Linked DNA regions of Arabidopsis thaliana. The protein of the gene in region 2 interacts with the protein of the main gene of each other region in a pairwise test. Each region holds a gene or a part of one and is shown on either strand. Other genes may lie near its edges. The genes, in order: AT4G08570 and AT5G49990.

The links.
Region 1: the proteins of AT5G49990 (region 2) and AT4G08570 interact in a two-hybrid assay, tested with the Arabidopsis thaliana proteins (one large-scale study listed by BioGRID).

What each region holds. Positions count from the first base shown.
Region 1 is NC_003075.7:5,447,465-5,462,396, reverse strand, and holds AT4G08570 (Heavy metal transport/detoxification superfamily protein), read left to right. Parts: upstream 1-6,296; 5' UTR 6,297-6,421; coding exon 6,422-6,578; intron 6,579-6,978; coding exon 6,979-7,274; 3' UTR 7,275-7,817; downstream 7,818-14,932. Other genes in the region: AT4G08580 (microfibrillar-associated protein-like protein), read right to left, coding at 1-207; PUM15 (pumilio 15), read right to left, coding at 9,214-9,604, 9,660-9,823, 10,201-10,363, 10,463-10,756, 11,083-11,221, 11,681-11,963; AT4G08555 (uncharacterized protein), read right to left, coding at 13,997-14,206. UniProt on the Arabidopsis thaliana protein: Heavy-metal-binding protein.
Region 2 is NC_003076.8:20,336,212-20,354,145, forward strand, and holds AT5G49990 (Xanthine/uracil permease family protein), read right to left. Parts: upstream 5,825-17,934; 5' UTR 5,556-5,824; exon of another isoform or gene 5,536-5,555; intron 5,496-5,535; exon of another isoform or gene 4,987-5,495; 5' UTR 4,977-4,986; coding exon 4,880-4,976; intron 4,451-4,879; coding exon 4,353-4,450; intron 4,266-4,352; coding exon 4,089-4,265; intron 3,963-4,088; coding exon 3,862-3,962; intron 3,778-3,861; coding exon 3,702-3,777; intron 3,616-3,701; coding exon 3,556-3,615; intron 3,412-3,555; coding exon 3,227-3,411; intron 3,097-3,226; coding exon 3,000-3,096; intron 2,759-2,999; coding exon 2,672-2,758; intron 2,557-2,671; coding exon 2,498-2,556; intron 2,415-2,497; coding exon 2,323-2,414; intron 2,241-2,322; coding exon 2,163-2,240; intron 2,033-2,162; coding exon 1,653-2,032; 3' UTR 1,375-1,652; downstream 1-1,374. Other genes in the region: AFB5 (auxin F-box protein 5), read right to left, coding at 1-320; AT5G50000 (Protein kinase superfamily protein), read right to left, coding at 6,627-6,833, 7,031-7,165, 7,239-7,413, 7,493-7,689, 7,781-7,902, 8,501-8,822; AT5G50010 (transcription factor bHLH145), read left to right, coding at 13,345-14,280; AT5G50020 (DHHC-type zinc finger family protein), read left to right, coding at 14,999-15,030, 15,322-15,418, 16,055-16,240, 16,631-16,930, 17,119-17,352, 17,428-17,913.

The DNA.
Region 1 (14,932 bases), on a different chromosome or scaffold from region 2:
AGCAACACCCAAATCATCATTCTTTGGAAAAGCTCTATCCAAAACAGAAAACTTCTGCATCCTAACATCATCATCTTCTTCAGCTTCCTCAGCCCACTCCGGAGCTTTTCCTGGCCAATACCTTCTTACTTTAGTCTGTCCAATACCACCTTTTAGTTTCTCCCTTACAGCAATTGCAGATTCACTCACTCCCGCTGTGACCGACATATTTGCACTTGCAAGTAACCAAACTCAATCAAATTAGCTATCTGTCTCTGCAGCACAAAATAATACAGGGATTAGATTCAAGCTTTGCATCATTAGTATTCACCAGAAAAGGAAAGGAAAAGAGCTACTTCCCCTAATCGATCCTCAATAGCTAAAATCTTAAAGAGACAACAACAAAATGCATTATGTACAATGCATATCATTGATGTGTGTGTGGGTGAGTATATCAACATAAACACACCAACATGAACAATGGACGCTAGAGAAATTCGAAGATTGCACATTTTAACGAACTATAACATTTTCAATAGTATGTACATACTTAATCAAGTGTGGTGAAATCAACAATCCCAATAGCGAAGCTATTGTTCATACATAAACACAAGCACGAAAGAGAGTAAACTGTTACAAAGTTTTGTCTTTTGACAAATTTGCATACAGAGTCAACAAAAAGTCGATATCTTTCTGTACCCAAAAGCATAAGAACCAATAAGAACAAATAACAATAGAAATGATTAATCGAGAAAAGCCCTAGAATACAAATTCGTGAAACCCTAAATCTCAGAACAAAACAAAGATCGATTTCGCAAGATTTAGCTTCAGTAGAAACAGATCGACATCATATGAGATCGAATTGATAAGAAAATCGAGCTTACCAGGAGATGAGAGAGTTTCGGTTAGAGATTGCGGAGGAGACGGCCCTTAGGTGGCGGTCTCAGCGGCGGCGATAAATGTAACCTTGACGGCGAGAGATTGATGTTGGCCCAAGACCATTAAGGCCCAATACTTCGGTTCGTAAATTTCCAACTAAACGTGAATTTTAGTAATTTTTTGTGAAATTAAGAAAATTGTTATTATTTTTATATTTTTCCTAAAACTATACACAGTAAAATTTCCATAAATTAATAATTTAATATAGATGAGACTATGGTATTTTCTTAATTTATCAATTGATCCAAAAACAAAATTTAGGACAGAAAAAATGTATTAATTTATCGGGTATTAATTTATCGATTATTAATTTATATGAGGTTTTATTAGTTCCATAACCTTAAGATTACAAGATATTTACAAATAGTATAACTAATAACACCGAGTTTTATTAAAAAAAAACTATGAAAAATGTAGTTTGAGTAGTAATTGTGAAACAAAAGAATTGAATTTTGGTTTACATAACTTTAGAGATGGTAGACGGGCGTGCCCGCGACCGAACGGACCGACCGCAACATGCTCGCTTTTCCATTGATCCGCGACGAACCGGACCGCAGACGACCGCGGTCTTGAAAAGTGAGTCCTAACCCGCCCCGCAAAGCCCAACAGTTAGACAGACCGGCCCACGGTCTTTAGAGGCAGAAGAACTTATGTTTGGTTGATTGACGAAGTTGTACCTTGTTTCTATGAAGTGTTAGCTTCAAGGAATATTGTGAAACGTTATGTATTAGCTTGAAGTACTTAAAACATTTAAGTCAAAAGTACTTAAAACAGAAATTCTAAAACAGTACAAAACATATATATGTGACATGTTTACCTTAGCAGCATAGATCTCAGAGTCTTGCTTCTTGATTTTAAATTCGTTTTTCAAGTTACAGACTGCTTGGTGACTTTTCCTGTGAGACACCAACAATATCATGTCAAATCTTGTCGCATTTGTCAAGAGTTGAACTGAAACTTAAACTCTTGACTTGAACATTGCAAAACAGAGATATGTAACATGTCAAAAACATTACAAAACACTTGACTTTAGCTAGATTTTCTAAAGTAAAAAAACATTACAAAACAGAGATATGTAACATGTTTACCTTAGTATTAGAGCTTTGTGATGGTGAAGCACAAAAGATCACATAGGAGAACTCTGGATGTTCCTGCCACATATAAAGCTCCAACTCTAACTTCCATATTGTGAAAAACATGACTCTTACTATATAAAACGTTGTGAAGAAAAAGAACTAGTCACTAATCCACACAAAACATATTGATAAACACAAAAGACACATGAAACAGGGATTTACAGGACATCATAAACGTTCTTATAAGAAGAATATGTGCAACTATCAAAATTAAGCTCAGTCCATGTAGGAGACAAACTCAAAGTCACCTGAATCGATTGGGACACGTTCTTCTTCATCAACCTCAAAGGTCGTCGTCGTTGCCGTATCAAACCGTGTTTTTGAAATGTATGATCCGATACATGAACATGCTTCTTCTATAAACGAAACTCTAAGTCGTACACATTGGTATAGTTATAGAGATGACTTCATCATCTTGATGTAGGGTTTCGTTTATAGAAACAGCCTTTGCAACGTTTGCTATATAATCAATATGAAGCTTAAGCATATAAACCCCGTAAAAAATATTCAAGGTTCACTTTGTTCAGTTCATAAAATTATGTTTTTAATGGTTGACGACAAAAACCAAAAGAGAAGTTCTAAGCGAATATATTAAGTCATACATATAGCCTAGAAAAAAATAATTGAAATCGTTGCATATGATTTAAAAAACCTTAGATATATCATACTAGAGACAGTCACACGGGAATGGTTCAAAATAATATTGTAAAATAAGTTTTAATTGTTGTTTATTATATATTGAGAAATGTTTAAATTCTTTTGTAGTTGTAATTGATTTATTTATATTTCATATTATTATAATAATATAGAAAACTAGCTATAATTGTATATATTAAGTAATGTTTAGATATTTTTGAAATAAATTATATTCTATTTCATATCAGTAAGAGGAAATACTGATTTATAGTTTCTGAGAAAAAATATGTGTAGCCATTTATAGAAAAGAGCATTTATTAAATTAATTTAAATATAAAATAGTGTTCTTTTCATGTTTATGTTTACGAGTTCAAAAACAAATTCGTGTGGGCTTGGCCTCTTGGTTTAAAGCGGACAATATCATATTAGAGAAAAATATTTGGGCTTGGAGAGTCCAACAATTGATATTAGAGCCTATGTAAAAAAACGTGGACCTAAAGAGGTGGGTTTGGGCTCCATGTTCGGTATGGAAAGAGTTCTCAATGTAACACGATAAGAAGAGTGCTTCAAGTTGTCCTTGCAAATAAGGAATGCCAGAGCCTGGTGCTAAGGTTTTGCTTGAGGGGAGGGCCTAAAGTTCGGGGTTTGGTTTGAGGAGATAATTATTGGGAGACAAACCAACGTCTCACATCAAAAAATTAGAAAATATTAGTCTAATATATAAATCATGTTTAATTCCAATTAGTAGTGATACCTTTTGGAAAGAAGACAAAAATAAATCCGCGCGGGCTTGGCCACTTGGCTCAAAACGGACAATATCATATTAGTAGGAGAGTTGACTTGGGCTTAGAAAGACGTCATAAGATTTGAGAGTTAACCATCAACTTTAAATATTGGAAATCATACATAAACCACAAGTCCGTTAATAAAACTGTGACATATGATTTCATTCTTTAATATTTTGATACATTGTTATGAAAGTTTTAGAACCTTAACCGAGTGGAAGAAAACTTTGGCCCATACAACTCTAGTCTAGTGGTAGTTGAGAATTGCGGAAAAATTGAAAGGACTTAATCAGATTCGATCTACCATGAAAAAAGCAATACAATATCAGTCGAGCGCATGCATATAAATCACAATCTTTCGTCACCTACTAATTTGTCTTAAGTTGACAAAAGTTGCTTTTTACAAAAGTAAAATAAAAAGCTTAGCGAATGTGCCAAAGAAACTGTGTCGTTACATATGTATATATTTGATTTAATCAATAAAAGGTAAATGGACTTCTTAAAACCTAACTTCATCGACGTCATAATTGTAAAAATTATATAAGCGTTGTTCTATATCCTACATAGTTTATATATCATTCTCAGCTTAAATCAGATCGTAATCCAAGTAAAATCTATTAAAACACAATCTCATATTCCGGCCTTAACAATAGCAACTATTAGTTGAATATAAATTAGTCAGATGGATGATAAATTTCCCTCGTTGATGCTAGTGAACTAGAACTTTTGAAACTATAAACACATGCAAAATTGGTTATTTACGTTGAAATATTTATGAATGAGAATAACTAGCTTTTTCACATAGTCAAAGTTAGTATCAATTTTGAGTTGGAATCATGCGCTTAAGCACAAGTGATTCATGGTGATTTCAACGTAAAATACCTATTTAGCATAGATTGGTTAATGCCTATCCACCATATGAATAATTAAAAATAGTTATCGAGCCAAAATGTATACTATAATCTTTGGCTGTGTTCAACGAAAGCAATTATGGACGAGCGCGGTTCCCTCATTTATTACTTAAATTGTAGATATTGCTCCATGTAAGAATATAAGATACTGACTATATATTGACTAATGTATTACTCCAATTTAACGGAAATAAAGGTGACACATGTACTCAATCAACAAGATGAGTTATTCATAATGTAATGAAATGGGACATATCAAAACTTGAGTGGTAGAGTTGCTGCCTCTTAATTACAAACAGTTTGAAAGCAACCCCTCCTTCTAACTAAATCTGATATTGCTCCTTATTATAGAACATGTGGTTGCAATTTTGTGCACACATATAGAGTTTCTGATGATTTTATTCATTCACCATAAATTGTATTTGGTATAATGATTGATGCGAGAGATCACTTCGTAATAGTGGATGTTTTCTTCAGATAGTCGCTACATGTTGAATTGTGGTAAGCTTATTTCTACTAGTAGTGTTATATAATCTCAATGAATTGTATAGCAACAGGTGGTACTTTAAAATACATATTTTGAAAACAAAACTTCTCATCGCATCAACAATTCTACTTTGACTTTGAGCCAGATGTCTTGGCAACAAATCGGAGTTTACATGAATGTCATTTTCATTTGTATTTTTGTTTACATATTATTGTCAATTCATTTAAATTTTAAATGCAACTGACCCCAATCAAAAACTTGGATCAATGTCTACCGTTGAAACATGACACACAATTACTAACTGCCATGTGTCCTCCAAAATTGATAAATCACTCCTCAGTTATTTACGTCTGCGTTTAATTTTTCAAACATTTGACTGTTCCCTATCTCATAAGTCATAAACTAATACTCATTATCTTTTGTTATTTCCCACTTTTTGAATTAGTAGATTTTAAATAATAAAAACGAGACATGGTACGCTTACAAAAAAAAAAATTATGAATGCCAAAATGCAAAGACTGGTAAATATGTCACATATATTTTATATAATTATTTCAAGTTAAATATTTTTCTTTTTTTTTTAACGTTTTTTATGGACGTCTTAAACTTTCCAACATATTTCTTTTTTTTTTTAAAACTTTCCAACATATTTCTTTTTTTTTTAAAACTTTCCAACATATTTATGATTTGGAATATAGATTACCTCCATCAAAATTCATATAATATAAATATATTATTTATTTGTTTTATTTAGAAATAAACAAACAACGATCGGCCAAAAAAACAAAAAAACGAGAAAAACTGAAAAAGTATTCGTACGTATTACCCACCCAAACTTGCATGGGTTATATATAAGGGTGTGTTGGCAAAATAGTCACTTTTTCATACTTAATTAGGAAAGTAGTCATTTTACTATTCATAATTTGTAAAATAGTCATTTTTTGCTGTTTGATTCGTACACTTAGATTGTACATCACTTTTAGTGTACAAATGTAAAGTGTACGCTGTATATTTTTATATATATTTGTACACTAAAAGTGGTGTACAATCTAAATGTACGAATCAAACAGTGAAAAGTGACTATTTTACAAATTATAAATAATAAAGTGACTATTTTTCCAATTAAGTTTAAACAAATGACTAGTTTACAAATTAACTCTATATATAATGGATTAAATGCCAAAAGTTTCATTTCACCTCGGTGGAAGTTTCTTGCACCCTCCACGAGACCCCAAAAGCAATTAATGATCTTTGTTTTGTTCTTTCAGAAGCAATAATGTAATCCTATTTTATTTTGTTTTTACTAAGCAAAAGAAAAACAACTCAACAAATAAACAAATAATCTGCTATTGTCACATGAGTCACATCTCCTTTACTATATGAAATGCGCTCACTGTAGATAAATGTAATCTCATCCCTGCACCATATATGGTACAAAGAAAGAGCCTTTCTTCCTCACTTTTATCTTCACTCTCCTTGAACATATTTTCCCTCTTAATATCTTCAAGGAAAAAAAAAAAACTGCAAAGAGAAGTGGTGTGAGTGAAAATGGGAGTGGAAGGAACGATGGAGTATATATCAGACCTTTTAAAGAAGAGGAAGAGGAAGAAGAAGAAGCAAATGCAAACAGTAGCTCTCCGTGTTGCTCGTATCGACTGCGAAGGCTGTGAACGTAAGATCAAACATGTCCTCTCCGGTGTCAAAGGTAAAGAAAATCAGTTTTAGCCAACCATCATGATAATGGTTAGAGATTTGCCATGTTGGTCGAAACCACGGATCAAATTCATTCCACTACTTTTGTACATGCCCCGTCTAAAGCATAGAGCCATAGACAAAGAAAATCATTAATATATGATATATCTAACATTTTTTAAATGCCAACTTTTATTTTAAAAAAGTAGATTTTTCTATATATGTACAAAAATAATATGAATGGGGTATAATTAAATTTTAAATCTCGAGTGGACATATTGGCATTACAATATGTGTTTTTGAATATATATAACACTACCAATTTATATACTCGTTGGACGATAGAAAATGTGACATTTAACAAAAAAAAACATGAAAATTGGATTTAATTTGCATTGGACTCGTTTGGACAGGGGTGAAGTCAGTGGACGTGGACGTAAAGCTGCAGAAGGTAACGGTAACGGGATATATAGACCCAAAGAAGGTTTTGGAGGCTGCCAAGTCAACGAAGAAGAAAGTGGAGTTATGGCCGTACGTTCCTTACACAATGGTGGCGAATCCGTACATATCTCAGGCGTATGACAAGAAGGCACCACCAAACATGGTTCGGAAAGTCCCCGACACGGCCTCTGTCAACGAGACCACCGTCGATGACTCTTACACTATTATGTTTAGCGACGAGAACCCTAATTCTTGCGCTATCATGTAGAAGAGTGTGCTTTTGTAAATTAATTAAGTATATGGCTATAGATTATATTATACTATTATATATTATCGGTTTTGGTAATAGTACCTACGTAAGAGTCGTGGTGTACGGGTTTGGCTTTACAACTATTACGTGAGAAAATCGAGATTTCTTAACACTTATAAGGAATTTAAATAAGAGGTTTTATAGATAGCTAAATTATGTTTTGAAATATTCTGCTGATGAGTGGATGATATATAATTCATTCGTTTAGAGTATATTCACTTTTTATTTTGGATAACTTGGGTGTGATCCAGTTCAAAGGATACCATAAACTCCGAGTCAAATCGCGGAGGCTTTTTTCCCAAGCTGGTTCTCGGGTCAACGAGTCATGAGCAGAGCGTGCCTAGGTTTTTGGTGGTCTTAGGCAAATAAGGAAAAACATTTTATACATATTGTGATAAAATGTCTGATAATGTATAATTAAATTTAACATATTTTTCAATAATTCCTGAATTTTTGCTTTCACCGGATTATCGGGTACTCTTATGAAATAGATTTTCGATTTAAGCTCGGTGTTCACAAGTTGGAGAAAAAGTTCGGTATATCTAAGACTCACTATATACTGATAATTTTAAAGCATATAAGCTAAACAAATATATGGTGACATGTGTTTATATAAAAAAAGATGATACATTCGGTTCCTCAGTAGCTTTAGCTTTGCCCTTTGATTGGCCCTTATAACTTAATGATGGAGTTCCGGTGCTTCCATTTTTTCTCTGTTTGATCCTGATTAAAGAAAACAGAGACATCAATCAAATAAACTAAAGTAAAATGAATAAGCCAAAAGCAAAATTATACAAGTGAATCAAAATATCGAAACTAAACGTAGAAGACCAAGATTGTGTTTATAAGTAGAGAGGAATATTATCTTTCACTCATGATTGACTACCAACGACTGTTTTTTTAAGAAAAAAAGGTGTTTAGTTCATAATATTTTTTGTGAAGATAAATCTTGATGGAAAAATATATTTATAAGAACTGATATTAGATGTTGGTTTTGATAAAATTAAAATATGAAATATTCAAAATAGTCAAAGATTGAGCTGATTTAAAGGAACTTATATAGTTGTTGTTTGTGTAATATCTTATATTCGACCGAAACAAAATTACAAAATATCCAAAAATTTGAACTGATTAATTTAGTATTTGAATTTCCTACATTCTCTAAACAAATTAATTAATTTCAATATATTAAAGATTAAAAAAAATTATAAGTTTTCTTCACGTTAATTTTGTTCCTCTTCTATTTTAAGGCTAAATAATTTTTAAAAAATTCCTTAGTTTTTTTTAGATTTGTTTCTTTTAACTTCTGTTGAAAAAGCTAACAATATTGGCTACTTTCTCTTCTTGATGTTTTACAGCAGAAAAGACCGAGAAATCGAATGAAACAGTATGCACATAATTCTTCAACGTTCCTTTGTTTTCTCTTTTTGTTATTCTTCAATGTTTTCTAATTTAATTACTTCAATTCCAAACACAGGACAAATGTGCAGCTTGTAAGAAAACAGTTTATTCCTCTATAGAACATGACAATGAAAGGAGAATCTTCCCACACAAGACTTGCTTCACATATGTATGCAAACTCTAAAACACCTAACTTTATGAAACATAAAAAAAAGTGAAGAAAAGTCTTCTTACATTGCAAAGAGTATCGAAAATGCCTAAAATGAAAGATAAATCTAACAAAAAATGCCTACCTATTTTCTAATTAACTATAAAAACACAAACACAAACACAAAAACAAATACAAAAACAAAAACAACACCAACACCAACACCAACACCATTTATCAATTGTGGACTCCTCTTCTCTTTGTAGATGTTCTTCTATGTCCAAATATTGAGTTTCTGGAGTAATTTTCTCCCATATACATTGCACCTCATGAATGGAACATTTCTGTTTATATAGAACAACAATACATGTCGCACATGATCCTACAAAACACCAACCACAATATAAGTTGGTAAAAATCCACATAAAACGACTCCGAATCATCATGTTTATCTCTTACCTCGGATACAATCCACGCTGTTTGAATCACATAATCTCCATATGGATCTACAAGAAGTGAATCAATGTCACTTAGCAGCTCCGCTATGATCCTCCTGGAGGAAAATTCTCTACTTTCCAAACACTTCTGCACCACGTGACTCCCATACTTGTCATAAGAGAGTTGCACGTAATTTCCATCAAGATGTTTCGAGAGAGCACTTGTCACCTCATAATCTTTCAAACGCAACAAATATTGCACCACGTAGTTTCTGACCAATAGAGATTTTGGTGTAAGAGTACTTAATGTGATTTATACAATGATTAACGCAAAATCATAAAAGAATCTTATCTTACCCGTAGCAATTCCCGCATAATCTTACAGCAATACTGATTATCTCCTTAATCAAAGGGTCTCTTAGCTCTCGAGAGGATTGTCTAATCAATTTTTTAAGCATACAACATCCATTTTGATCTATTGCAACTTGATAACAATTTTGAACAATCACTTCAAGAAGATACTGTCAAATATAGAAGAGACCACACATGAAAAATGATCAGTAAAAAGCATATATTAACAAGTTCAAACCGGTTTACAAAATTAATACTTATGGTCTACCACTACTCATTTTCTTGTAACACAAGCAAGAGAGCTCGAAAGCCTTTGTTACACTTTTCCCACACACAAAACAATTTAAGTTTTGAAAGCTATGTAACCGCGAGATTATTAAAACCAAATTTGATGAAATAACAAGTTCATAGTTCGAATCGGGCCATCTAAAATTCCAAAAATGTGTTGGAAATTTAAGTATTCACAATCTTGGTTATAAGAATTCTGGTGAAAATCTCTATTAGCTATAAAATAATGTTTGAGGAACAAAGAAGTAAAGATGCTTACTCTGGTATGTGAAGGAGAAAATTGATTGAAGCAGAACAAAATCACACGATGAGCAATAACGTCCTTGGTCAATAGAAGTGAAACATAGCATAGAGTTTCCATGAACCGAGATATTTGCTCTTCAGAACAAAGACTACGCATCAAACCTTGTATTGCATGTGTTCTGTTATCTCCAACATAAGAGAGAAAAAAACAAAAAAAAACAAGTCACATGAATGGTATTAGTGAGACTAAATGAAATGGACATAAGAATAATGCGTACCCGTGTGTATGGACACAAAGCCTAACAAATTCAAAAGGTTCCTCAAGGACTATATCCAAAACCCGAGTGATCTGTTCATCGGTGCATTTCTCCATAAGCTTTCGAAAGACTTTATGGCCATAATAATCAAGCATCAATTCACATACATGTGAGATCAAATTGTCAAATATCTTATCAATTGTCTCCTTTAAACCCTTGGCAATCACATATTGCAACATGTGAGACTCTATACCGTCTTTAGCACGCGATAATAGAGTATTGCGGATTCCATACATATAACCATATGCATCATCACTCCAAGGGGTTTGGTCAAAGAAAGGATTACTTGGTAAATAAGGAACGTCTTCTAAATTTCCGTATGGAGAACCCATGACACTAGCACTACGACTACGTTCATGAAAAGACCTAAGAGCATCATACCCATTAACATAATTATCTTTCAATCTCTGACTGATTCCTCTGTTCTCGTCCAGTGTTTTGCTGAGAATCTGAAGGAAACCAGTTCACACGATCGGTCATACCTTGATCCCCACGGTCCAGTTCGGAGACACCAAATCTTCTAAACTCATGTTCTAGGGTTTGCAAATCAGAAGAAAATAAGGTTTCAGGTGAGTAATCACTCAAGGGAAACGAATGGTCGTAAGTTCTGAGACGCTCCCACAAAATCCGTTGAGCGGGAGATTCCACGGCTTCCTGAAACGGTGCGGCCGCCACTCTTTCGTTCTGATTGCTCATTGGAGAAGACTTGGACCACGACGACTTGGAGATGCGTTTAGTAAAAGGAGATGTTGAGAAATGAAAGATCAGGTTCCGATAATTATTAGAGATGCTAAGGTAAATCTTATTTTATAAAGTATGAATTTCAAAATTAGGAACTCATATGATTGTACCACGTGTTAATTTTATTGATCTTAGATTTTGACACGTATAAAACAAGTATTTCCTTTTATTAATTTTAAAATAAATGTATATTTCTTTTTTACTTTCAAATCATAATATAACTTGAGAATTTTTTTTCTTATACAGCTTTTTTTTTAAAATCATAAGATTTTTTTTTTAATTATTATTCTTAGATAGCTTGTTAAGAATTTTAATTTATCCAATCATACACTTTATGCATATTAACCGGATTTTTAATAAACTTGTTACCTTCTTTCTTTAAATAGATCCCATCTTCTCTAGCTCTCCAATCCCATAGGCCTCCATGATCCTCCATACTGAAAAGCTTGAATGCCGTAAAGCTTTGATAGTGTATATAGTTAGGACCTTGTCTCAAAGTACACATAAAACGGGTGGTACCCCAAAAGTTAGTGCCAAAATAATCTAGAAAATGTCCTCCGATTGGTATTATATGTGGACCTAATACATCATCTTTAGAATAACACCTCATCCAGAGGTTTTTCTTGAATTTGAGCTCGTTCGCGATCCTGATTCTTGCTCTCGATACATGGCCAAACATGCAAAGGCTAAACACAAACATAAAGATGGATAGGTTTTTCATTTTCATTTTCTTTTTGGTAGATGTTTAGATCTTTGGTTTTGGTGTTGTATATATATACACATTTGTATTACTATTGTTGGCACACATTCCCTTCGGTATTAGATTCAATGTTGTAACACATATGGCATAATATCTTACATTTTGAATGATTTGAGTTTTAGTGAGTTTTTATATGATTTTCATGATTTGAGGGAAGTTGATGTGATTTATTGTAAAATCTTTTCAAATTCCATCTAAAACCATGAGATTTGGATTTCTATATTTTTAACTAAAAAAGTCTTATCAAATCCTCTCAAATCCTTTAAAATTAATAAGAATCAAATTCACAAACTGTTTTAAACAGTGGATTTATTTTTAAACCATTAGTTCAATAACAGTATTGGATTTTACAAAAGTTTTTAAAATCAATGATTGAATAACATAAAATTTGTAAATTTTACTGAAATCACTTAAAATACTAGTTTGAATACACCCCTCGTAGTTATATGTGATTATGTGAAGATATGTTACAATAATCAAATTAGGTATCTCTATATAACTATAAAAATTGAATTTTGAAAGAAATAAAATAAAATCAAGCAACCAATTGTGGATAATATTGGAAAGATTATGCTCGAAGATCAAATGATAATCTATTAACCAATTGTGTATAATCAATCGATAATACTGGAAGATCAAACGTAATCAATTATATATCCCCTATTACAAATTTACAGTATAATTAAAGAGAATTAAATGATAATATCTTTTTATATTTGGAAACGAAAAAGTTCTAAAATTATTTACGAAATTCATTCATTATTAATCAGTTAATTGTAAATGAATTTATTTAAAAACGTGAACATAGTAACTAATATTAATATATTTATAATTTATATAATGAATAGAAGGGAAAATCATAAAAGTAATGATTGTTTGTAAAAATACCGTTTTCTAATACCCTTTCGCAATAATAATCTTTTCTGTTGGTCATTTTTTAAATATCTCTTTTCTTAAACAAAATGATCAAATTACTTATCATCTGATGAGAACATGTAAAATACCTCTTTTTTATCCATCATTTGTGTTTGATATCCATTTAAAAATACCACTTTTTCCGCCAAAATTTATTTTTCCCTCCAAAAATTTATTTGGAATATTTTTTTCGGGAAAATCAATATTTCATTTTATTAACGTATAATATTTTCAAAATATGGGTAAAATAATCATTAAATGACAAACAAGAAGGGATATAATTAAAAATAGATAATTTTGAAACAGCATTTTTAGCAATTTTTCATGATTGTTTCTCCAAAACATATACGTAAATAAATAAATAAAACATTTCATCAAAAATATTCTATTGTTTTTTAATATAAAATAAAATGAATATGTAAGAGAACAACAATAGAATACATTAAAATATGTATATCATCATTAAAAAAATTCATATTATTATTCACTTTACTAATTCTAAATACAAAACACATCATTATGTTACTGTAATATTATGAATATTATAATTGCTTAAAAATATTTCTTAATTACAACCAAAATCGTAGTAATATCTTCTAGCTATCTAGCTATATATATATATATATATATATATATATATATATATGTTCTTCTTCCTCCATTGTTCCTCTATTTCTTGTAAAAACACAAAGAGAAAATCTGTATTCTCCTTTGCAGATATGTAACTACTCATCCATTGCAAGCCCCCTTTTTAACAGCTCTTCAAAGAATCTAGAAACTTCAGCAATAATTTTTAAACATGTTGCTAGAAAATCCTCTGGTTTTTGCTCTGTTCTTTTTACTTCTTTTAAAAAAGCTAAGAATCGAATGATTCTTCAACATTCCTCTGTTTTCTCTTTTTGTTATTCTTCAGTGTTTTCTAATCTAATTTCTTGAATAGAAGTAAGCATAAGATTTACAACAATCAATATAATTCTTTGTTATTAACTGTAAAAAAAATATTACACAAAAGAACAAAATGAACCAATCATAAAAAGTTAAGAAAAAAAAAAAATACATAACCATATACATATAGATGTTTAAATATCTGCAGAGGAAACCCTTGGATTAGTATGGAGGGTCTTCTTAGATTTCTTCGTTTTCCAGATTTTACTCTTACCTCCAACATTTTCTTTTTCTTCCTCTACTTTTGCCTCTGCAAGCTTCATCTTCATCTTTTCTTTATAAATCTTCCTCATCGCGTAAGCTTCTGCGAAACCCGCTGTGCTCGATCCACCGACACCGTACATCTTCCAAAAATAAAATCTACGAATCAAGATTGGTCTAAAACTTAGTGAGTATGAGGATGAGGCTTTATTTTTAAGGGGTTTGGGGATGTATTTATAAGGTTGTAGAGAGGGTAGTTACATGGAATTTTCCATTCGACGGTCAATTTTGATTTTTCTTTCTTTGTTTTGTTTGTTTCCTTATTTGGATTTCTTTAATTTGAGGAAATATCATAGAAAACGTAGAAAATTTGAAAAATAAAGTATATTTGCTTGGAAACCAAGGGATTGATTCTCTACCATACAAAAGCGACCGAAGCAAATCCTAAACGTTGACATACACTAGTACTGACAGGTCAACTTAAATAGGACCGTAACTTGGTGTTCCATACCATGTCAACTTAACTAGGAAAACTATATTGGATAACAATTTTTGACATAGATGAATAATAAAATAAGTTAAATAACTATCAATATTTTTTATTAGGTTGATTACAATATAATCTATAACTGATTACATTGTTTTTCTCTCGGGTTAAACTAACATATTATATTCATACCTAATAAAACAGTGTAAGATATTCATAAGAGAAAAAAAAAAAAATATATATATATATATATATATATTATTTATTTATTTATTGGTATAAAAAATATAAATTATTTGTTGATTTGTGTAGTAATTAGAAATGACTTTTGAGGAATTAGTTATGAATTAGTGTTGAAGTCAATGTGTTTCGTTTCATGAAA
Region 2 (17,934 bases):
GTCAACCTCGCCGGAGAAAGAGCGTAACAGTTACCAATAAAAACCTCAGATCGAGTCAAAGCTTCAACACGCCACCAAGATTTGCAAACTAGAGAAGCAGCGTTACGGTCACATCTTGAATCTAGGAACTGAAGAACGTTCTCAAGTACGTTTTCGAGAACATGGTCAGGGAAAGTTTGAGAATTTGAGATACAGTTACGAGATTTGTTTGGTGAAGAGGAAGATGAGCAAGGATCAGCTATGGCGGTAGAGGGTAGATCCAACGGTGGAGATTGTTGGTCATCGTCATCTTCAGACATTTCTGAGCGATCTTGTGTCATAAAGAGAGAGGCTTTGGATTCAGATTAGAGAAGAGGAAGAGGAAGAAGAGGAAGAAGAAGAAGAAGCTTTGGGGTGTGAGAGAGTGGGAGCTTTCTCTCTCCACTTCGTCTCCATTATTTGGGGATTATTTTTTATTTTTAATTTTCTGTTTTGTCTTCTTATATTTATGTACAAAAATAATTAATATTCATGTTTTTTTTTTCTTACTAGAAAGTAAAATGTAACTCTTTTTTTCTGCTTTCTTGTCTCCATCAATGTTTTTACACTTTACAGTTTCGTCCTCTTTATTTTCTTCAGATCTCTATTTTAGCAATGTTTTAATTAGAAAACAATAAAATCAACATTATCCATTTCTATAGTGTAGGACACTTGCCTACCCTTTTTTCGAGATAAGTTGAGAATTTAACCATATTGGTTAGGGTAATTTTTTTTGTCTTAAACCAAATCACTAAGCATAGATAATATGAACAAATTGGTTGGGATCATTTCAAGTAACCTCCTACGAATTATATGTATAGACCCGCATAAATGATTTCGAACTAGTGCACTTTTTTGGATTCTAACATTTTTGATCCGTAGATTATTATTAAGTAACTCACAATAGTTTATAACTTCTTATACCTTAACCTAAGGTGGTAAGTGGTAACCGATTTAGCTAATGACGTCTTTAAATTTTATCAGTCAAAAATGTATTTATATATGTGCCACAAACAAGCACATATTATTCTACCAATCAAACAAAACAAATACAGTATAACACAACTAAATACAAAACCCATTCATCATTGAGGCTCTGTTTTTTGTGTGCAAATACTCATCGTTGTGGCTAACCATCTGTTTTAGACTTTTAGTTATCGTTAACTTCCTATCAACTAGTTATATGCAACCAAAGAAGTGTTTAAATGGACGACAGAGAATGAAGCACATGAACCCCTACTTATCTTCAAAAGTATATCATAAGAGTTTCAACGTCAAATCTAGCATTACAAATTTTTGTAGGAAATTTTTTTTGTTATAGAATTAGAATCGAAAAGCCTCCAAAACTCACAAAATTTTCTCTTTTAATCATTTGTATTAAAACAGAGCATACATACTCTAGTTCTAAATTTGGCAAAACGAGTATCATCTTTAATGCAAAACATCTAAACATAGAAGAAACATCACATTAATATTTCTAAAATGTTACTTAACACTTTGGGTTATAATATCTAGTTGCGTTTTATAGTCTCCTCACCGAATATGCACATAAAACCTAGCTAGATAAGGTGTGTCCTCCTAAGGGACACAAAACTAGCAAAACAGCATTCCATAAAGTTTGGAAGGATTTTTTTTCAGACAGAAGGGAAATATTTGTTGAGGTTGAACGGAAGAGCATAGAACTCTTCTGTTCTCGGGTCGTTCTTGAAAGTCCAGAATCTGTCCCACCAGTGTTTACCTCGGTCTTTCCTGATCGAACCATCTTTCTTGTGAAGCGTCGTGTCCAACAAGTAAGCCACACATCCTCCCACAAAGGCCTTGGACGAGAAGGGCACATTGACCATGTCGTTGAACCATCTTGCCCCGGTATGAACTGGACCATAGCCTTTGATGGCTGTGTGCTCGTTGAAATATTGTGGAATTGATAGGCCTAGGAAGATTGAGAAGCCCAGTATGAATAATGTCCTGAAGCTATTCAGGTTGCAGAATTGCAGCAAACTCAGTCCTCCAGCACCTATACAACAGTTTTTGTATTAAAGATGCTCATAGCTAAAACAAGTCTCTAGCTCTATATGTTGGTAAGCAAACCAATCTGAACCAAATTGCTTCAATCTAAACCAAGCTAAAAAAGAAACAATACTTACCTACATACGCAAAGAAGAGACAGTACAAGGCAGCTATGATAGGAGAAGGTATGGATGCAAATACTGCCCCGAACTTCCCTGCATTAGTTTTATTTAAGACGATTACTTAACGTAGTCCACTTCAATTCTTAATGAATTTTTGTGAGAGAGACAAGCTTACCAAGAATTGAGAAGAATATCATAAAGCCTGCAGATATTTGAACAACTCTCCTGCTACCAATTTTTGTTAGTGCCAGCAGACCCGCATTCTCGCTGCATTCATGTGAAAACAAACTCACCACACCATTCAAAATCAGCTCATGTCCTAGATTTGGGAAAAGGATAGGAGGTCTTACACAGAAACTGAAGACCCTATACCAGTTCCGAACAACCCTGAGATTAAAATTGCAACTCCCTAAACCAGAAGAGAACATAGTTGAGGCACAACGTTAGATAAATGGCCACTTGCTTGCCCCGAGAAAACCTCGAGATGGTATTTGTAAAATGAAGCTTATGAAGTGAGTATTTACCTGCCAACCAACCCCGCGGCTGATAACAGAAGGTGGCGGCATTGTGGCACTAGCATATCTTGAGACGGCAATAAAAGCACCTGTGGACTGTTTTTTGTTGACAAACAAGTCAACATAATGAGTAAGCAAGATGAGATTAAACCAAAGAGCAAGAAAATTCGAAAGAATGAAGAGAGAGTCTCATTGACTTTAAAAGTTAATGAGTATGCAACCTATGAAATTCATCTATTAAGGACAGCCTTTCTATATAAATGGATATGAAAATCTATGCATATCATAAATAATTGTCTAATGTCATTTAAAAAAGGTGAAGATGAGTGAAACAAACCTCAACAAGAGCAACAAAAGAAGCCATCATCATGGCAAATGCTTCACCAGCATCAAACAATGGTGCTCCCCATTGGAAAGGCCACGGAACTCTTATCCTGCACAATTAATAAGCGTAAAATGCTAAGCCACACTTGTATTCACTGACAGGTCATTAAAGAAAATACTTTTTTGCTAACATAACTCAGCGAGACATTCAATGTTCAAGCCTTGTTCTGAAATTCTTACCATGGAGCAGCACTTATAAGCCCAGCGCGATCAGTCCGACAGCTTCTTTGAGTATCTGTCCCAACACCATTATAGGCACCACCAAGTGTAAGAAAGAAAGCATAAAGCCATACTATCGCCACAGAAAATATGACAGCAAAGCGAGCAAACACATGTTTTCCTCCTTTTATAACATGGGGCATGTACTACAAAACCAGCAAAAAGTATGACCCAGATGATTAGAAACATCAACATACTGGAAGAACACATCCGGATCAATAACTTATGCAATGAGAACAGATGAGCCGGCTGCAAATTGCTACCAGTTATGAATCTTTACCTACAATTACCTGTGATATTAGTATGAGAATAATAAGCCCAGGCAGTCCAATCTCAATACACTTAGCAACCTGGCCAAAATAACAAAGAATCAAGATTCCACTAGGTTGATATAATTTAGTTTATCTGTTCCCATTTACAGAACAAAGAGACTTACACCGGGAAAACCTAACTCGTACAGGCCATAACCAACTAATCCAACCAAAGGAGCAGCAGATAGTGGACTTAAGAACCTGGACGAACAGAAGTTCAATATCATATTCTTTAACCTGACACAGTGGAACAAGATTTGAGTCTAATGTAGCTCAAAGACTGACCTTACAACATTACGCCAAAGGCCACTGAAGCCAAGGATAATTTGAAGAGTTGAAGCAACAATAAGAGCACCTTGGGTTGCCCGAATTATCCTCTTAAATCGCTGATAAGGTATCAAAAAGGTAATTTAGAGTAAAACTTCATATTCAAGCATAACTTTATTGATAGTGATAGTACACTAAATAGATAATAACACAATTCAATTAGGGGATAAGTGTGAGCTACGAACCTCAACTGGATCTGCAACGTCATTGAATCTCCCAGAAAGCATGATTGAGATAGTAACCGGGACAAATGTATAAGATGCTCCAATAACAGCAGGTAATCTAGTTCCAAACACAGTTTGGAGCAGTGTGTTCAATCCAGCTACAAACAATATTGTCTGGATCAGCTTTGCCTTCTCTTCCTGCCAAAATCATAAACTTTAAGTACAATGAAAGACTGAAAAGAATAATGTGAACAACTATCTTTCTAGAAAAGAGACTTAACTTACATTTCTACCTCCCATTTGTGGAACAAGAGCCGATGGAATCAGAACTGTTGTTCCAAGCATCACAAGGTAGTGTTGAAACCCAAGCAGAACAGCCTCAGCTGTAAGACAAGAATAAACTCAGTCTCACATTTACTAATTAAGAAGCTTAAAACCTCATATTCAAACAAGAATTATTCAAAAACCAACTACCAAATTAGAAACATACAGTAACACTAAAAATAAAAGTTAGATTGAACATATAGCAAAACCAAGGGGTGGATTAAGTTTAATTTCCTTTGTTAGCAAAGAATGATCCTCAAAACACCTAGTAGGAGATTCTCAAGGTAAAAACGAATATTTCTTAAAGAGAAAAGTAAGAATCCAATCCTCACGTTGCAACAAAAAGCAAAAAGTAAATGATACCAAAATCAGAAAAAGTAAAAATGGAAGAAGCTAATCAATCACAAGGCTTCAAAACCAGGGATATGCCTAGAACAAAAGCTAGAAGTCAAACGTTAAGGGAAAAGGAAAAGAAGAGAGAAACTAACGCCATGGAGGAGGACTTGTAATGCAGTAAGAGATATCTGGAAGCTGTTCTTTCGGCGGATGTGGTAGTGGATCACCACCCGATTTCGGAGCTGACATTCTTCAACCTCTGCAACAAAAAAATAAAAATCAAAACTTTAAACCAAAAACTTCACATAACGAGAAAGTGACTGAAACCCAAATCACAGAAGAAGCAAAACTCACGAAATTTGAGCTCAAGAAGCAGAAAACAAGAAAAAGACCTCGTTTTGAGCTAACCCACAGTTGCAAAAACAATAAAAACCAAAACTCTACACCAAAAACTTCACTAACCCGAAAAGTGACTGAAACCCAAATCACAGAAGAATCAAAAGCTACGAAATTTGAGCTCAATAAGTAGAAAACATAAAAACAGAGGTAAAGACCTCGTTTTGAGCTAAACCCACAGTTGTAACTTTACACCAAAAAAACTTCAATAAACCGCAAAGTTACTGAAACCCAAATCACGAAAGCAGCAAAAGTCACGAACTTTAAGCTCAAAAAGCTCGTAAATGAAGAAAGAAGGCGAAACAGAACAAAAACCCAACAAAAAGACCTCGTTTTTAAAGCTAAAATCAAGAGCAGAGTTTTAAAAATGATTCTGTTTAAGTAAGAAGAGCAGAGAGGAGAGATTATACACAGATTAGAAGAAATAGAAACCTTGTGAAGAAGCAGCAGCAGAAGAAAATTGGAGAGTAAACTAGAAGAAGAAGCAGTGAAGAGAAGAGGCTTGATGAGGAAGGAGCAGAGGGGACAGTTGTCTACGTTTCGCTATATCAGCGTTACTTTGTGCACCGATTGACGTCACCACGAAAACAACCTCTTACCTGTCATTACTCTTAATTCATTTGTCATTAGTAGTTCCCCAACGCTTTTTTCTTATTACTAAATTTTTGACAATGAAGACAATACTTATTTATTTGTTTGGTAATGAATGAATGATATAGATATAGTTTCATTGTGGTGTCGCCAACTGCTATTATTATTTATAATCAGTGTTCTTAAACACACTATACAATTTGGCACTAAACACTAGACTTCTAAGAAACATTATTAGCACAAGCTTCTAGTCTCAATAATACGTTATTGTTAACTTGTGTTATTGTTAATGAGGCGTTAGACCCATAGTTATACAAAGAGAGAAGATAACCTAAGGTTACAAAAAGACCATAATGGGGCAAAGAAATGTTGACTAAGCTAAGATTAGACCATAATGGGGCAAAGAAATGTGGACTAAGCTAAGATTAGTAGCTATTGACTAGATCTACTCTATTAAACCAAAAGACAATACTGAAGTAGCAATAATATCTTCAACAAAGTTGTTTCTCGACTATGCATTCCAACCTAATGGTCCTTCTATGGGAAGTGAGGTTTATCATAGCTGAACATTGGACTATATATATCAAATAGGATGTTCCTGTCGAGTGTAGTTGGTTAACCCATAAAGACAAAAAGAACAGTTGTACCATTGACTAGCTATATCAAATATATGATTAGAGATGATGATATACGTGACCATAAATATTTAATAAGCAACTCTCACAAATAGAGCAAAACAAGAAATGTTGAAGAATATGGAAACCAAATCATACTCTTTACGTAAATTTTAGCAACCATTAGATCCCTAACAAGCCTTCCCATTTTTTTTCCTTCTGGATTATAAAAAGAAAAAGAAAAGAAGCAAGGACACGAATCTTGAGTTTTGAATGATCTTAGATTGGTCTTTGGGAATTAAGGACCACGTTTCCTTCGGAAGCATAGGCAACCCTGTTGCTGGTCGTTAGGAATCATCCCTCCTCCCTTGGTTGTGTCAATACTCTCCAACATTGGTACAACCTCATCCATCTCCGGTCTCTTGTCCGGATTTGCATCCCAACATCGCTTCATCACAGCTGCAAGTGCGCTCGGGCAACACCTCGGTATATCGGGTCTCAGGTTCTGCATTGATCATATGTAGCAGCATATTGCATATAGATTTTTTACTTCAGTGAAATGATGAAATGGTTACACTACTCTAGATCACATTTTTTACTTCAGTGATTCCTCAAGATTTACAACAAAATATAATTGTGAAACAACCAATATGCACATTTCAATTAAATTAACTTTTCTTTGCTTAATCTATTCAACCATACCTGGCGGACGACGGCTGAAGTGACCTCAGAGAAAGTAAGGTCAGGGTATGGCATGTCACAGCAATATATCTCCCATAAGCAGATCCCGAAACTGTATACATCGCATTTTCGATTATACGGGTTTCCATTGAGAACCTGCAGCCAAAGTTTATTTGTTATAAAAAGTTGGTTTGTTACCAATCTTGATGATGCATTATCACTATAGTACCTCAGGCGCCATGTAGCCAAGTGTGCCAGTCTCTCCTGTCATGTCATTAGGGTTAGATGCTTCAACTCTCGCAACTCCAAAATCTGCGATTTTAACAGTCCGGGTTTTGTCTAACAACATATTCTCTGTCTTTACATCTCGGTGAACAATCTTCTGCGAATGAAGGTAACTCAACCTAAAAGCAACATAACAATAACCATTAGAGCAGATAAACGACTTGAGAAGGCAGCGAAAGAAGGGAGAATATAATGTACCCTCTAGCGAGATCAAGAGCGAGCTGAACAACAATTTTAAATGTTAGTTTTCTTCTTCTGTTCTTGATCAGGTAAGATTTTAAAGCACCACCTGGAAGATATTCAACAACAACACAACATATATTGTTTGGCATAGCTAATGGACCACTCTCTGTTTGCAACTGTAACCCTGATGCACCCATTGTTGCTCCTATAAACTGCAAAATATACATTCATTGATGACCCAAATCTTATTTATATCCTCAATATATAACAATGGTAAAAAGTAAACAGAAGTGAAATATGAACCTTGGTGACATTAGGATGATCCAATTTATGCCAAACAGCAACCTCCTGAGCAAAATCAGCTCTCAAAGACACAATCTCAGCTTCTGATCTATGACCTTCTTCACCCCAATCAAGCAACTTCACTGCTCAATTTCACCACAATGATTAGCTCATTTCTTCACTTTAAATTTAATAACAGTAAAAAAGCTCTTTAGTTACTGCATTCAAGGGATCTATTATTCACTCTTTTTTTCTTTAAAATTTATTTCATGAAAAAGAGAGATTGAGACAACAACAGCTGGAATCACATGAAAGATCCACAAAGCAAAAGAATCATAATTATCCAAGTAGAGACCTTTCAAGTAGCTGAAGAAACACTTATGATAGCAAAACCCGTGTCGGCTTCACGGAGATCACAAGATTTGCTTCTACCCTCTAAAGAAAAAAACTCTTCAAATCCAAAACAATTCAGCAACTTTAATCTTAAAAATCCAAACTTTTTTTCAATCTAACAAGTTTCATGGTCAAAAAACACGAACACAGAACTAAACTATTCAAGTACAAAGCCTGTTTCGGATCCGACATTTCAAGTACAAATGTAGTAATCCATTCTTAAATTCGAGACTTTAAACTAAACTTGAAGACTTTAGCATTATTTCACAGTTACAAACTAATAATATAAAATGAAAGGGAAAGGTTTCGATGAGAGAAGGAAGCTAGAACGACGGGAAAGTGACTAACCGGCAACATCTTGACCGTCGTAGATACCACGATGAACGGTACCAAAAGTGCCACGAGCAAGAACAGTCTTGATGATAAGTTTAGAAGGATCGATCTCCCACTCAAGTCTCTGTTTCCTCTTGCCAACAAATCCGCCGCCGTTTAGAGTGACAGGGGAAGAAGAAGCAGAGCCACCGATGGCGACGGCGGTTGTGTCTTCTTCATCTTTCTTCTTGTTCTTCTCTAAAGTCAAAGCTCTGCTTAAGTGTCTCTCTAGTTGCTCGTCTAAGCTTTTTAGATCAATCTGATCTGCTCGAACAAACCCATCCTTTCCTTCTTTCATTGTCAAGCAAAAGATCCTATGAATCTTTTTTTGGTCTTCTATAAGTTGTTGTTGATTTTGTTTCAACAAGTTTCTTCTCTCTCTCTCTCAGATAATCAAACGCAGAGGAAAATGGGAAAAGAAAATCATAAAAAGGGAAGATGAGAAGAGAAGAGAAGACCGCATGTGAGTGAGCACATGGTCTTGCCTCGACGCTAATGTATCTGTATTTACATTTCTTTTTTTCCTTTCATAAAATAAATACTTTTTTGTTTTGTATTTCCAAAAACAATAATCATCACTTATTATCAAAATAAGTGTTGGTACCAACCATTTTATTGACGAGAATAGTGAGTGCAAAAGTTTGGCCCATTACTCTGGATGTTCGGCCCATCAAAGATTTGAGCTCCCTCGTAAACCTAAATACAAAAATATTAGTATGTGAATTTCGACATCTACATTTTTGACGTCGTATGTGGAGTTTATCATACTTCTGATTTTGGTCTTTCCAACTTGGTTTCACATACTATGGATAAACTACTAATATAAATTGATGTTACGAAGTTAAAAGATATTAGGAAGAACTAAGCCGATCTTTCTCATCTTGATTTGATATTGACATGAAGATATCGGTTGTGGCATGTCTAAACAATTGGACATGCTTGTTACAACTCAGTGTGTGTTTGAAGTACGCTTTGATGCTATGAACTCGACCAACTCCCGAGTTATACTATGTAAAATATTGTTCTATTGTCAGCATATAGAGTATAATGATAAGTGGATCCAATCATGTCTCTTGACTTTTTTATTTTTTATAAATTGAACCAAATCTATTTTCACATACGCTTACACGTATGGGATACATATGATAATCAATTGATTTGAAGATTGAGGAATGGAACTTAGAGTGGTGGTTAAGTGTATTGGTTGCTTTAAATTGCACGAAGCGTGGATGATTTTGTTGGCGTATCCACGTACCAAATGGCTCCATGCATTGTCTGTTGTCCCTACCAAAACCTTCACTATTCTTCTTGAGATCAATATTAAATATATATATTCTCTCAAATAAAGCATATACACAATGGTGCTCTTCTTCTTTTCTCTTTTTTTTTTTATTTTAAATGTATTGTATAATCGCATGTTCGTTACATATTAACCAAATCAAATTAAAAGGTCAAATATAAAACAAAAGCTAGAATTTCTATGCCGAAAATATGGGAAATGAATACCTTTTGAAATTTGGGAGTGGCCATTAGAAGCTCCTCAATTTTATTTTATTTTCGCCTTTAAGGTGTACAAATTTCTTTTTAATTTAAAATTTAAAAATAATTAACATGATCAGCTCTTCCTCAACTATAACTCTAATTCCGTGTACTTAAATAGTTAAATTATACTATAAACCCACTTAGTTGCTTTATCTAAGAATTAAAGAATGTGAACTCATCTCCCATGCGTGTTTTCCTTTACTCAGAAGGAAATTAAATTTCAATATTCTCTGAAACCCATTACAAAACACGGTCATGCTAGAAGACTTGAAGTCGTGATATGTAGCATTTTTAATGCGTTTTGTGAATATATGTAAACTATATAGATGTTATATAAGTACTCTCGGTCCAACATTTTGGAGCACATTATACTATGATCTTGATATTCAGCCAGTTTATTATGTCATATTTTTCGAGAACATTTGTTGAATTGAAGAACATAAAAGATAGCAAATCAACATCTCATATATGTGTCTTTATCAAAAAAAAACATCTCATATATGTGTATTTTTTTTAACCACGCAAAATGAGAAGAGTGTTATTTTATGTGTATAAAAATGGTGGACCTAGGATATGATGATTGCTTTAGAGACACACAGAAAGAGAGAAACGGTGGAGGGTTTGTTTTGGGCCCCTGACACCATTAAAGCCAGTAAGGATTAAGTGTATCCACTTTTAATTAATCCTAATTTATATACTATACGGATTAGTAATATTATCCTAATGGTTTTTGTATAACTTAAATATTTGGCGTGGTAATATTAAATGTTACTCTGCTTGTATGATTGTGAGCAACCAGATCTCTCTTATCTGTACATCAAAGATTTGGTTCAGGTTACTAAATCATGGGTCTTCTACATCTATCACTATTGAATATAGTTTCAGATGTCTTTGATTGTCAATGAAAAATATCTTGGGTATAATTATTACTAGTCAGTGCCATTTTCTGACAAGAGAGAACGTGTCTGTTTCTTCTGGGGGATTAATTAGGTTTAGATAATTTTGGTATCAAGTTTTATGATTGATAATATACGATTAAGTCATTGGCTAACTAGCTAAAAAAACTTTTTTTGGCTAACTTGGTAATTTTTGGTGATGCAGGTTGTTCATTTGGGTTTCTGTATAGAAATTATCTCCTTTTTTGTCCTTCGAAACTTATCTTACAGTATCTAATATTGAATTTATATTTTCATAATATAAATTATTGTGGATTGGTCATAAATTATGATCTCAATAATAATGTTCTTATGTTATCATTATTTGTTTGTATTTTTATAAGTCAGTGAGTATGACTTGTACCGTTCCTACTTCTATAGTGAAAACGGAAGTCTTATAATGATAATGAAGCTTGTTTTTTTTTCTTAACACTTTAGTATATATAGAAAAATATACATATTTTGGAAGAGATTATAATAAAGAAAAGATGAAGAGCAATCAATTGTCTTGTAGGATTTTCCTTTCTTCTTGTTATATTTATCGTCACATATTTCATCGTTTTTTCACTATAAGTGCAATAGATACATTTTCCACGAAAGTGTTTTGGAGATCCATATGAAAATAGACCAACCAGAATGGGAAGACAAAACATAATGTGAAACCCAAAGAAGATGGAAATGGAGGGTGCAAAAAGGTAAAAAGTAAAAGTAGAAATGATTTGGGGTTTGAACGGTCAAGCCATTGCAAACGAGAGTATTTGAGAAATGATTGGACCTTCTTCTTCTTCACATTGGATACTTTCACTACTTTTCTTACTGACGATGAACGAAAGTACGAAACCAACAAAATACATAAGCGAGCGTCTTATAAAACATGATTGCATGAAGTAAGTATACTTTGGCTTCAAATGGATTTTTTTTTTTGTATAGCTTCATTGATGATCATTTTTATATTATGTGAATGATATTTGTGTTTCGGTGGAATTGAAAGATACTAGATTCCGTTAGCTGAATTTGTTTACATGTGATGAAAAGTGAAAGTCGACTGATTCTTCTTTCCAACCAAAACAAGCTATTTGGCATAATTTATTTTTCCACCAAATGGGCAAATGTATATCTTTTAGCCAAATATAAATAAGCCGAAAAAGCATGTTAACAACAATATGGATTATGAGTATATCTTACTAATTAGTAATTACATCGAGAAAAATAAACAACTATTTAGATTTTGAACCCACCAAATTCAGCTAATTTTCCCAAAAACATTTGTTATCGGATTTGGTAAACACTGTGGCATCACGATACCTAAACTTTAACGCACGCACGCATCTCTGTTATGATGAAGGTCACTTTCGTCTTTTTCTCTTGTATATATCTTCTTCCTCGCTAACTTCTCTTCGCCATCACTGAAACTAATATCTCTCTGCTTCCTCCTTAGAACTTCTATTTGCTTCTCTTGCATTCCACTTTTGTGAGTTTCTATTATCTTCAGTTTTCGAGATAGAACTTATAAACTCTGTAATAATATGCATTGTGCATATTTTTCTAGGTTAAGTTATTTGTTTTAAAGTGTTCTGTTTCTTGCTAGCACTAAATCTATTGCTCTCGTTTATTTTGCAGATTCATTTGAAGTAGTGAGATTGACTCCAGAGATAAAACAAGAAAGAGCAACAAAGCAACAGCATGCGGTGGTGGTTGTGTCTTTCTGCTTATGTTTTTCGTACAGTAGTAGTCTTCTGTCGTGTGATTCTGTAAACTGCGATCTTACTTCAGACATAGCTTTTTTATGTAATGGGGTCGTCTTTTTTCTTCACATTCCCTTACTTTGTCCGCCAAATTATTTAAGACTTCGTTTGGATACTCTGTTTTGGGAGAAGGAATCAGTTGGGGAGAAAGTAGTTATGGTTTGTCAATCAGCGGGACAGACAAGATTTCGTACACTCAAACACGAACACGGTATCACAGGAAACATTGTAGTTAGAGTCATTGCATGCTTTCAACCTCTCCAAGATTGCCAGGTTATTTTCTTGTTTGATGAGTTTATGTTATTGCAATATATTTAGATTTTTAAACCACCAGAACTTTTTTTTATTGATTTCGTTTTAGCTTTGATGTTGTGTATTTTGCAGGCTGAATATTTCCGTCAATTGTTGAAGCCCGTCACGTAGAGTAGCTCGATACTTATCGTTCTTGTTTCAAGCCTAGTTTCTTCTATCCATTTAGTTGGTAAGTTCCAGTCTTTGCACACATAATCTTTTGACCTCCCATTCTTGATTATAAGTAGCTGATTTGTTTGAGATGATGATGTCCTCTGTTTTGGATAGTTGATTTGTTTAGTGTTGGATGGGACAAGATCGTGGGTTTGGGTTTCCTACTCAGCGCTTGTGTTCCTTGTCTTCCCTAGCTCTGTCTCATCTCGGGAAGCAAGACTTGAATTTAGTATCTAAAACCTGCGGCGACACCACCGACATGTTTTCTACTCGTGGATCTTATCAAGTTTCTACCCAAGTCTCTCAATCCTATTTTGATGGGTATTGTGGATGGGTTCATGGGTCATCCCACCTACAGCAGCAGTTCTTGCCTCCTCAAAACCAATGTATGAAGCAAGTACCTCTTCAAGTAGACGGTGTTATATCTAAAGCTGAGGAACAATGTAGTCAGAAGAGGTTCCTAGTGTTTGATCAGTCTGGAGATCAGACGACTTTGCTACTCGCTTCCGATATACGGAAATCTTTTGAGACCCTAAAACAGCATGCCTGTCCTGATATGAAGGAAGAGCTCCAAAGAAGCAACAAAGATTTGTTTGTTTGTCACGGAATGCAAGGAAATAGCGAACCGGATTTGAAGGAGGATTCGGAAGAACTAAATGCATTGCTTTACTCTGAAGATGAGAGTGGTTATTGCTCTGAAGAAGATGAGGTTACAAGCGCAGACCATTCCCCAAGCATTGTAGTATCAGGCCGTGAGGACCAAAAAACATTTCTTGGAAGCTATGGACAACCATTAAATGCTAAAAAGAGAAAGATACTCGAAACCTCGAATGAGAGTATGCGGGACGCTGAATCGAGCTGTGGTAGTTGTGACAACACAAGGATTAGTTTTCTGAAACGTTCTAAGCTGTCTAGTAACAAGATAGGAGAAGAGAAGATATTTGAGACTGTAAGCCTCTTGCGCAGTGTAGTCCCCGGGGAGGAACTGGTGGACCCGATCTTAGTCATCGATAGAGCCATTGATTACCTTAAATCATTGAAGATGGAAGCGAAAAATCGAGAAGCATGAGGTTCTTTGTTTGTAGGATACCTAAGACATATTAGCATTGGCAAGTGGACTTGGTTTCTAAACAAAGTAGTAGACATATTGGACCGTGGTACTCTTGTCAAGCTACAAAGGGATCAGGTTGTTGCTAGTTGGAAGATAAACCAAATAATGTTTCGGAGTTGCAAGAGAAGGAATTGATATTAAAATGCAAATTGAATATTTCATATTAGTTGATGATTAAGATGGATTGCGAAATTTTAATTTCAGTCGTTTAGCTGTTTGTTATATCATGTAGTTGCTTCTTCTTTTTCTATAAGATTTTGTCGGTGTGGTTGTTATTGTTCATCTGTGAGTCGTGTGGCCGAGAGAATCATAAATGGGAAAGTTGAATAACCATTTTCAATGATAGGCCAATTATAATGGTAAACACACAATTAATTTAACTTTTTTACAAATGATTAAAGATGTTTGTTTTCGTGCCAAACAGACATGTGATTTGGTGGGATATTTGGCAGTCTTTTGTCAATATGGTAGCAATTTTTGCCTATTGTTTCATGATTAAGACTCTTATCACTTGTCATTTCCTGACTTTTGTGCATAGAACTAGTGACATGTGATATACTGTAGTCCCATCCAGTTTATAAGTTTTGAATACATGTCTCTAGCCATTCAGAATAAATCTTGCAGCTAAATGTTTTAGAAACCGGACCAGATACCGGTTCATCCCAATTTCAGCCACATGAACGATTCTTGGTCTGCAGGACCGGACCGGTCCGGTTTTTAAAACATTACAAAAATAATTTTATATGCGTAATAAAAAAATGAAGGAACAAAACTGTAATGTTCGTCTCGGGAGACACAATCCAGAAACGAAACGCCTTTTGTGAGAGAGAGAAGAGAAGAGAAGAGAAGAGAAGAGAAGAGAAGAGATCGCACCACACAAAAACTACAATTTTGTTTTGGAAATTACTCTCACCCACCTGAATTTTGTTGCTAGAGAGACAACACTTAGGTTTTGGGCGGAGTTCTGATGTGAAATGAATCGGCGTAGAAAATTTTCAGGATCCTCCAATTCGTCAGAGAGTGTAGCGAGGAGTGTCTGATCCGTTCGCTGATTCTAATGGCTGGACGGGTCTTCGAAGCCTGGAAGGGAAGTAATGTAAGCTTTTCTTTTTCTTTCTTAAGGCGTCTCGATTTCGCTTTACTCTTTTCCCTTTTCTGGAATCTACATTTAGGTTTTCTTAAAGGCGACATTTTTATGACTTCACTGTCCTAGTTTTAAGAAAAATAATTGCAGAGAAGAATGTTCTGAGTGGATTTGTTGTTTTGATGAGAACAATGTGGACATTTTTGAGGGAAATTGTACTTTTGTGTGAAGAAATTAGTATCATCATATTCAATTAGATTACATTGGTGAGCTTTATTGGATTCGACTGTATATGTTGAATTTGGTGGCTTTAAATTTCGAATCTTTTTCAACTCTATCACTGTTGATAGTGTCATTTATTGTTATCATTGCGAAGATCTAAGTTTGAACATATATACCGTATTTGTTAGATTTGGTTTGGTTCCATGCTGATGCATCACCATATTTACAACATTGATGAGCTTTCTATTCACTATTGGTTCACTCTCCAAGCATGAACTTGCATTTTTGGTGAACTCTATCAGTCTATTGTCAGATTTTGTTCAATGGAACCCATTACCACTTGTGAATGTAGCTTTTGATGCAATGCTCTATGCTGTATTTATTCTGAACATGATGATCATCTTCTCTTTTGTTGGTCTTTTGCAGAAGTTTCTGTTTGGTGGGAGATTGATATTTGGGCCAGATGCTTGGTCTATTCCTTTTACCTTCCTGCTCATCATAACTCCCGTTTGTTTCTTTTCTGTATTTGTTGCAACACATCTTCGCCGCGAGCTCTTACCAAACAATGCGGGACATGTGTTCTTAGTGGCAGGAGTTCTATTTACTGTCTTTGTAAGTTTTCTCCAATGCCCATTTGATATTTGATTTCTTGTTCACATGTATCTTGTATACCTTATAATCTTATCATGGGATATTATAGGATCTTATCAACTCTTTTATAAGTTTTGAATGTTGATTATATACATGCATTATAGTATGATTCACTTGTAATTATACGACAATAAGTTAAAAATCTTACCAAAATTTTGAAATCACACCTCAATAACATGTATCTTACTGTGTTTCTTGTTATGTTCTTTCCTCTAGCTTAGATATAAAGTTTGAAGTATTATTTTGAATGTTGTCACTTTTTGTGTGGCTTTTGGATTATGCTTTTTTTGGGCAGGTTTATTATTCTTCCTTCATTTATGTTTTTTTTAAAATCATGTAAATACTTAATAGGTACTGATCCTTCTCTTCCTCACTTCTGCGCGGGATCCTGGAATCGTTCCAAGAAATTCGCATCCGCCAGAGGAAGAACTATGCTATGATACAACTGTATCAAGTGATGGAAGACAAACACCCACTGTTCAAATTCCTAGGACGAAGGAAGTCATGGTTTATGGCGTTTCTGTTAGAGTTAAATATTGTGATACATGCATGCTTTATCGGCCTCCTCGATGCTCCCATTGTTCCATTTGCAACAACTGTGTTGAGCGCTTTGATCATCATTGCCCTTGGGTAGGCCAATGCATTGGAGTGGTAAGCTGATTCAAAAGCATATTAAACTGGGAAGATATGCAGTTCATAAGTTCTTATAAGCAGAAAAATGTGCAGGATTTTCTATAAAAGGATTTCATATTTTGAGGATCTGGTTTTTCTAGTTGTTGACAAAACTGTGAACTTTAATTTTCCATCTTGACATTTTGTTTTGTGTGTGTTGTGGGCAGAGAAACTATAGGTACTTCTTTATGTTTGTTTCTTCGGCAACTATTCTCTGCATCTACATTTTTTCGATGTCGGCATTATACATCAAGGTTCTGATGGATAACCATCAAGGTACTGTGTGGAGGGCAATGCGAGAATCACCCTGGGCGGTTATGCTGATGATATATTGCTTTATTTCCCTGTGGTTTGTTGGAGGGCTTACTGGGTTTCACTTGTACCTCATTAGCACAAACCAGGTTAGTTTTGTTCTGCTCAGGGTATGCGTTGTGTAAATTGTGTCCTATCTGATACCCAACATTTCAATTTTTCAGACGACCTATGAGAATTTCCGGTACAGATCAGACAATAGAATCAACGTTTATAACCGTGGGTGTTCAAACAATTTTTTTGAGACATTTTGCTCAAAAGTTAAACCCTCAAGGAATGACTTCAGAGCGTTCATCAAAGAAGAACCTCCAAGGAATATTACATTGGCTACCACATGGGAACGACCAGAAGAAGCAGATGAAGAAAACAGGGAGGAACGGCGCCAGAAGGTGGAAGACGATCTAGACATCGATGAAGATGTTATGAAACTGCAGCAGCGTTTAAATGACGAAGAGGGCAGCGATACAGCGCATCACAAGATCGATATTGACCAAATGAGAATCGGGTCTAATGAGAGAGCGCCAACAATTCGATCAGAAGCCAGGCATGGAAACTGGGGAGCAAGAAGCAATGCACAGGAGGAGGACGTAATTGCTGGTTCTTCAGTAAGAGAAAGTAGAAGCTATGCAGCTGCAGAGGAGGGACGGTGATGAGTGAACGATGGTAGTAGG